Linked DNA regions of Cricetulus griseus. The protein of the gene in region 1 purifies or fractionates together with the protein of each later gene. This does not show direct contact. Links are inferred from orthologs where the notes say so. Each region holds a gene or a part of one and is shown in the gene's direction. Other genes may lie near its edges.

Region 1 (4,402 bases):
GACTGGGTAAGAAGAATTGGCACTTGCATTTTTGCAATTCTCTTTTAAGTCTGGCTTAATAGAAGACAGCTGCTCTGCATTTAGCCTATTGTAAGATGAGTGTCTCTGGAAAACTCAGCCATACAACTGATTAGGGCATGCAAGTGCAAAGGCAAATATGATCCCAGGGTTAGTATGAGACTAGCTTTTCATCTTGTTGACGGTTAAAAGCTGCATTTTAACACACATCATAGTTATATTGTCCATATTAAATTAAAACTGAACCACAGGGTCACACCCCTGGACAAGAAACTACTGGCCTCCAGGCAACTATGATTGATGAGAGAGGGATGGTTAGCCTATCCTAGGGATGGGCCCACTAATTGGTTGTCCAATACAAAGTGACTATCCTGGAAACCATAGACACACAAACAACAACAATAAAAAACAAAACAAACAAACAAAAAACAGACTCCGCAGAATGGGGTTATATATCTATGGATACTTTTATGTAACAATAATAATCCAGGGAGAAGAGGCTATCAATTTGAGACCGAAAAGGAGAATGATGAAGGAGTTGGAGGGAGAGGAACTGAGGGGATTGGAACAGGGAAAGGGAATGGAGGAGGGAACAGGGTGTAATTGTATTTTAGTTAAAAGTGTATAAAAAATAAAATGAACCACGAGTCAAGCTTTCAGAAAAATCTTACTGTCTGACTTTAGTCAACTTAAGTAACTCTCATTCTTCCCCCTTCCTCCTTTCCCTATAACTATGATTCAAGAGAGCACTTTTCAGCACATAACTCACGATCAAGGTCAGTATGTTTCACTGACTTTCACTTTTGTCTGACTCTGATACATTCCTGCAAGCTCTCCTCATCTATGCTCTAAGCCTCTTCAGCATCATATGTAAGAAGACTGTGAACAACCATATTATCAACATCGGCAATGCCTAATGGCCACATACTAAGAGTCAAACAACATGAAAACGTTTTATATGCGCCTTCTGTTCAACTCTCTGTGCATTCCAAAGAAGGCGCTGGATTCGTTTTACGAAGTGGCTGAAGGTTGAAGAAGAAAGGCCACTGGCCTCTAACTCTGTTTCTTGAACACTTACCCTGTTCTAGCTCCGGTCATCATTCATTGCTGCTCAAAGGGGAACCCTTGACACCAAAGGTCAAAGGTGATACTCCTCGCACCTGTCAACCAAACCGCCTGCCTTCTAAAGAATCGTAATGGAGCACTTTTTCTGGCTTCATGATACTGTCGTTCCTTGAACCCCAGTTCTAAAAGCACCGGGAAGTTTCCGAGCGTCTGAGCTTGCCGGTTTGCAGCGAGGAGAAACGAGTGTGGAGATACTGAGTGTCTCCGTCTAGAGTGAAGAGTCCGCTTTCGTAACTGAGGCCGGAACCTTTCTCCACTCGCCGTGGTACACGGGCGGAGAGCGGAACCTTTCTTCTCTGCTCACAGTTCCTGGGCGGAGGCGTGCAAAAATGGAACGTCCCTCCCCGACCCGGTTCTTGCCGGGGTCGCTTGCTGCTGACGTGTGCCGACCGGCTTCTGACTGCGGTGTGGGTCGCTATGGCGGTGGACATCACACTCCTCTTCCGGGCGAGCGTCAAGACGGTGAAGACACGGAACAAGGCTCTGGGAGTAGCGGTGGGTGGCGGGGCCGATGGCAGCCGGGACGAGCTGTTCCGCCGAAGCCCTCGGCCCAAGGGAGACTTCTCCAGCCGGGCTCGCGAAGTGGTAAGCTGGTTGCTATGGAAACGCCGAGCCGGAGATGGGGCAGATCTGCACCCGGGACCCTGAACTCCAAACTCGACCCAGCCTTGTAAGCCCCGAGTGAAGAGAGGGAGTCGGTCTCACGCAGCCGACAGCTGGCTAGGGGCAGCGACAGGTTTATTATAAGGAAAGAGGGACGTGTATCCGAGCACTGTAGCAAGCAAGACTTAGAGATGCTTGGTTATCCATGTAGTAAGAAGTTGATGGCTAAGTTGAGGCAGTGAGTTCGCTGTCACTGCTGACTTGACTGCCAGTGAAAAGTTCCCACAGTCCTTCGCTTCCTGTCGCAACGTTCACCACTCTCTACCTTTGCCCTTTTCATGTATATGTTTGGGCCTCCCCTTGCGCATAGGGTTTAAAATCCACTTTCAGCTGAACTCCCTTTTTATTTGAAACAGTTTAAAAAACTCCATTGGTATGGTGGCACATGCCTTTAATCCCAGCACTTGAGAGTCAGAGGCAGGCAGATCTGGGAGTTCGAGGCCAGCCTGGTCTACAGAGTGAGTTCCGGGGCATCTGGAGCTACACAGAGAAACCTTGTCTCAAAAACAAACAAACAAAACAAAAGCACAACAAAACTCCATTGACTTCATCATATATATCATATATCACATTTCCTATTATCCCTGTATTACATTGAAGGGGGCATGTCTCAGTTTGAAATGAGAGGAAGGGGAAATAAGGTGTCCTCACTCCCTACCCTCAGTCTGGCTAAACTGTTGTGGAGGTTGCTCTCAGTGTGTGGACAGCACAGTTTTGGTATGTGAAGGCCCTTCCTGAAATTGGTGGTTTATTATTAACACTGCACAGATTTTCAGTCCTCAGGAATAGGGGATTTGGAAACAGTAGAGTTAAGAAGCACAGTTCAGCTAGAAGCCCTGTGGGGAGAGAGCTTTGCTATCAGTTGGACTGCACCCCAAGTGCTGAAAATGCATTTTCAATTATTTTCATTTAAAAGCCTTAGGGATGACAATTCTTTGAAGGTTCAGGCAGCCCCAGGGGTAGAAAGAGACTAGCACATCTGAGTTAAAGGGGAAATGTCAGCAATGGCAAACATGTCAAGCCTACGCATATATTCTTACATGCTGCTTCTGTGGTACCACAGAAGCCAGCACTCATTTTCCAATAGATCTTGTAGCTCAGAACCCCTCAATTCTGTGCCCTTAGAGCCATTACCAACTGCTGGGCTTGATGTCAAGTTGCTTGAGGTTCTACCCAGCAACTGGTTAAAAATTGATTGCATATCTAAACAGAACTTAGACTTTTCAGAACAGACTTTTAAAGGGCCTGGAATTCATCTTGTTCAGACTAATCATCTTTATAAGTGGGAAGACAACACTCAGACAAGTGCAGTGAGGGGTCCCAAGTCTTTGCAACTGAGGCCATGTCCTAGAGCTGGAGGTAGAAGCCAACTCTGCTTTGCTAGTTCTGTGGTTTTTCTCCCTCTGGTTTTGTATCTTAAATATCCACCTAAAATTTTAAAAGGTGTGTGTGTGCATGCATGCATGCATGCATGCGCACCATGTATGTGGGGGTGCCCATGGGAGGCCAGAAGAGGATATCAGATCCCCTGGAGCTAGAGTTACAGGTGGTTGTAAGCCAACCTACTTGGATACTTGGACCTGAACTTGAATTGTCTGCAAGAGCTGTAAGCATTCCTAATCACTCAATCATCACTCAACACCACCCCACATAATAATTTTAAACAGAGTTTTTGGACTTTTCAATGTCAAAGTGTTTTTCTTCTTGAGAGTTCATAGTACATGGGACTTGGAGCAGAAGGGCTTGGATTTAAATTTCTTTCTGGCTGAGTGAGGTCAAGAAGTTGCTTAACCTCAATTACCTGTTTTTTTTTTTTTCTAAGAATGATAGCCACTTTAGAAGGTCACTTGATGGATGAAATGATGAATGGTGTGCAAGTGCCTGTGAGAGTCTGAAATCTTTGTTTACAAGTAATAGTAACTTATAAACCACCCAGTGTTTCGGGGATTCTTTCAGCCATTAGTCTTTAATGTAACGGCCCCTTCAGGGCAGGGTCTTAGGTACTACATATGGACTGGGAGAAAGCTCTTACACTCTCTTGGATGGTGGTCAGAAGGTAGATGGCAGCATCCAAGGGCTTTGTCATTTGTGAGTAATTCCCCAATAAATACCCGACTTCTCTTTATCCAGGCTTTCGTGGACTCTATTATAATTTTTCATTACAATCAAAACCAGAATATGTGTGTTGGCTCACGTAACTAATGGCTTGGTGTGTCTTTCTGTAGCTCTCATCCATAAAACCCCAGGGGTGGACCTGTTCCTACTTGGACCCCAAAACCTTTGTTGTGTTCTCAGGAATAAGGTTCTTTAGTTGGCTAGGCCACATGTCCATTGCAGAGTGTGGCCAGTAGGTGACTTGGATATTATGATTAAAGCCCCACCAGAACTTTGGAAGGGGAGTGCTGTGTTCAGGAATGGAAACAAAGGGTGGTGGGCAAATACATATCTAATGGTGCCTGATGCATCTGACATTACTGAGCACATTATTATTCAAGCACATTGTCTATTAGGATAGATGCTTCCAACTTACCTGCATGTCTTGAATGACTTTGAGAATGGGCTGGGCCTGGAGATGCTGTGTGATTGCAGCGCTTCT
Region 2 (3,881 bases), on another chromosome or scaffold:
TTATAACTGCCCTTTGTAGACATAACTAGGACTTAGGTTGACAGGTTGTCAGAATTGGTGCTCTCTGTGGGACATGTCTGACTAATTTCTCACATTTGCATTTGGGCATGCAGGCTTTACAATGCCTAGTCTTCACTGTACAGACCACTCCTGTAGGTCTATAAATAGCGTGAAAGAGATGTGACTCCTTCCACAAGATAGAGCATTGGATGTTGACTAGGGTTGCCAGTGCCAAAGTGATTCATAGCCGCAGAAGAGACATCATGGCAGTAAGTGACAGAAAAATTTGAACTGAGGGGCCACACCAGTGTATCCTGTTGGCGTTTTTCCATAATTATAATCTACAAGGTTGTGAGCACTACCTTGTTTATTCTTGATGTTTGCCTCAGCCAATGCAGTGCATAGAACAGGGTCAATTCTGAATTTAGTGCAAGATCACACCAGGCAAGTATTATACATGCACATGAATGAACTTAGTATATTCCTGTTTATATTTTATGAGTTTCATTTTTGGATAGAGGGTTGTTGGAATAGCAGAATCATTTAGTACTCAGTAGTAAATGAGGCAAAACATAAACTGAACTTGTAGAAAGGCAATAATATAATTTGGTATAAGTAAATTTTGAGTTGTGTTGGCTCAGTTTGAAAGTCTGATCCTAATGAATTTAATACACTGTCACTAGACCTAAAGTGAGACAGTCCTTGAGATTAGACTTTGCCCTTATTTGTATTCCCAACCTTTGGAACATCATAGGGATTTAACAGTCAGTAAGTTTCTTCCTCCAGTGCTGGGGATTGAACCCAGGGCCTTCCACATGCTAGAAAAGTGCTGACTTATATCCCCAGCTTTGTATATGTTTTTGAGTTGTCTAGAAAAACTTGGGATGTTGTTTGCAGAATCCTCTCTAAAGACAACTTAAGAAGCATGATGTGGGGCTGGTGAGGTGTCCCAGTGGGTGTGGCCACACACATCTCTAAGCCTGACAGCTTGAGTTTGGTTCCCAGGACCATATGGTAGCAAGAGAGAACCGACTCCTAAAGGTTGTCTTGTTAATGCCAACTGTTCACTGTGACACTTGTTCACGGCCACATACTCATACATTCAAATGTGCATGTATACACAGAGAAAAATGTAATAAAAATATTAAATTCTTTGTGCCTACATTTCCTTTCCATAGTTACAGCCATTTTAAGGCTTGGATGTAGTTGTAATGTAGATCAGCTGACTTTTTCCTTATTTTTGCTTTTGAAAAAAGAAAGCATAAGTATAGTGTTGGTGACACACACCTTTAATCCCAGCACTTGGGAGGCAGAGGCAGGTGGATCTTTGTGAGTTCCAGGCCAGCCTGGTCTATGGAGTACGTTCCAGGACAGCCAAGACTGCATAGGGAAACAAACACTGTCTTGAAAAACCAAAAGGGGGAAATAAGGAGTTTGAAGCTAAGCATGAGCTACATGAGATCCTATCCCCAAAACCTTTTTTTGGAATGCTATTTCAAAAAACAATTTCAAAGATATCAGTTGTTTGTAATACCTCATCATGCTAGTTTGGAGGACTTTAAAAATAAACCAGCGTTTTATTTCTCTCTCTCTGTGTAGATCAGAGGAACAACCTGTTTGAATTGGCACTTTTCCTCCACTATGTGGATTCCAGGGAACAAACTCAGGCTGTTAAGCTTGCTGGCAGGTCCCTTTGCCCACAGAGCCACCCTGCTGGTGACTTTGCTTTGCTCTAGAACCTAGGGTTTTGTATGTGCTGGGCAGATGTTAGCTTTTAAGTGTACATGACTGTCTTATTTTCATTGTTGTCATTATGCCCCCCCCCCAACCTTTTTTTGTAGTCCTGGGGATTGAAACCAAGGCTTTTTATACCTAAGCAAACATTACACTACTAAGTACCCCTAACTCCAATATGGTATTTTAGATTTATGAGTTTACTGACTTAAGCCAAATTAGTGAAATTTGTTGCGTATATTGGGAAACATTTGATATGAAGTCTTCTGTGGGTTTGAGTTACTGTCTTACATATAGGAACTTTCAACCAATTTTTGTGTTTGGTTATAATGAAATGCATTTAATGAGAATTGTCTGTGACAAAAGAATAGATAAAGAATGGAAGTCATCTCCTTTCCCCTTAGCCTGAATGGTACTTGGCTCAGGTGCTTATGTGGATTGGAAGCCATGCTCACTTTCTGGATGAGAAGATTCAGCCCATATTGGATAAGGCAGGCTGTGCAGTAAACGCCAGGGTAAGAGGCTGAGGTCTGTGCATTTCAGCTGCATTAGAATTGTTCATGTGTCTGACCAACATGGTTCCTCGTACCTGTTTGTTTCTTTCAGCTTGAGTTTTCTCGGGGCCTTGTGATGCTCATTCTTGAGAAGCTGGCTTCTGATATACCTTGCCTGCTCTATGATGACAACCTTTTCTGTCATTTGGTGGATGAGGTGCTGTTGTTTGAAAGGGAGCTGCACAGTGTTCATGGCTATCCTAGCACTTTTGCCAGTTGTATGCATATTCTGTCAGAGGAAACCTGTTTTCAGAGATGGTTAACTGTGGAGAGAAAATGTAAGTGCTCCTGTGGCCATTGAGTTGGGAGGGCTGTCTCAATTTTTTTGTTTGCTTGCTTGCTTTTTGTTTTATTTTTAGACAGGGTCTCACTGTGTAACCTTGACTGGCCTAGAACTCTCTATATAGACTAGGTCGGCCTCAAACTTATTGAGATCTATCTGCCTCTGCCTCCTAAGGGTTAGGATTAAAGGCATGTACCACCACTGCCTGGCAATCTGTTTTTGGTGTGTACATTTTTTGGAGATTTTTTTTTCTTGGAATTAAAGTCTGCATGTTGAAATATTGAGTCAGTAGAGGATATTGCTGTTTCATAGATTTTTGCCATGTACTATTCTACTTGGTTGAGTATTTTTGGATGTGCCATATCCAGTCAGCTTAACTATTTTGAGGATTTGAGAGGAGGGAGAGCAAGGTATCTTATTTAACTCTAAAGTAGAACATTTTAAATATAGTGCAGTTAGTGGGAGATTGAAAATTTATTTTGTATGAAAAAAATTCATTGCTAAGAAGTGTAAGTTGATAAATTAAGAATGACTGTAACTCCTTGACATGATCCTTCTTTTTGTCTTGTTAGTTGCTCTTCAAAAAATGGACTCAATGCTCTCATCAGAGGCTGTTTGGGTATCCCAATATAAAGACATCACTGATGTGGATGAAATGAAGGTTCCAGACTGTGCAGAAGTTTTTATGACTTTACTTTTGGTTATAACTGGTAAGTACAGGTTTTTTTAATGTATGATGTTAGTTTAAAATGAAGTTTTTAAGCTAGGTATGGAGTTGCACACTTGTAATCCCATTTTGGGAGGTAGAAACATGGCAGGAGGACCAAGAGCTTAAGGCCAGTCTCAGCTACAAAGCAAGTTTGAGGTCAGCCTGGGATATATGAGACTGTCTTAAAAACAAAACAAAACAAAACAAAAAAAACAAGGAACAAACAAAACACCTAAACTAATTGTAGTTAGTTTGGGGCTTGAGAGATAGCTCAGCAGATAAGAATATTCGCTTCTCTTACAGAAAACCTGATTTAGCTCCTAGTTCATAAGCTTCTAGAGAACCCAGTGCCCTTTGGCCTCCTCAGGCACCAGGCATACATGTAGTTCACATGTACACATGCAGGCACACATTTATAACATAAAATAAAAATAACTAAATCGTTAAAGTAAGTAGTTTCACTGGGAGGTGGTGGCACAAGCCTTTAATTCCAGCACTTGGGAGGCAGAGCCAGCCTGGTCTACAGAGCAAGTCCAAGACAGCCAGTGCTACACAGAGAAACGTTGTTTCCAAAGCCAAAGAAGCAAAAGAGTAGTAAGTT

The links. Proteins that work in one complex are often made in the same cells at the same time.
Region 2: the proteins of Stx18 (region 1) and Rint1 purify together in Homo sapiens (co-immunoprecipitation; 6 studies listed by BioGRID and IntAct, counting the BioPlex papers as one, with this or other methods). This does not show direct contact. The link is inferred for Cricetulus griseus from reciprocal best matches to the Homo sapiens genes STX18 and RINT1.

What each region holds. Positions count from the first base shown.
Region 1 is NW_023276807.1:106,983,695-106,988,096, forward strand, and holds the start of Stx18 (syntaxin-18), read left to right. Parts: upstream 1-1,460; 5' UTR 1,461-1,472; coding exon 1,473-1,728; intron 1,729-4,402. UniProt on the Homo sapiens protein: Syntaxin that may be involved in targeting and fusion of Golgi-derived retrograde transport vesicles with the ER.
Region 2 is NW_023276806.1:170,805,974-170,809,854, reverse strand, and holds part of Rint1 (RAD50-interacting protein 1), read left to right. Parts: intron 1-2,138; coding exon 2,139-2,249; intron 2,250-2,340; coding exon 2,341-2,566; intron 2,567-3,143; coding exon 3,144-3,281; intron 3,282-3,881. UniProt on the Homo sapiens protein: Involved in regulation of membrane traffic between the Golgi and the endoplasmic reticulum (ER); the function is proposed to depend on its association in the NRZ complex which is believed to play a role in SNARE assembly at the ER.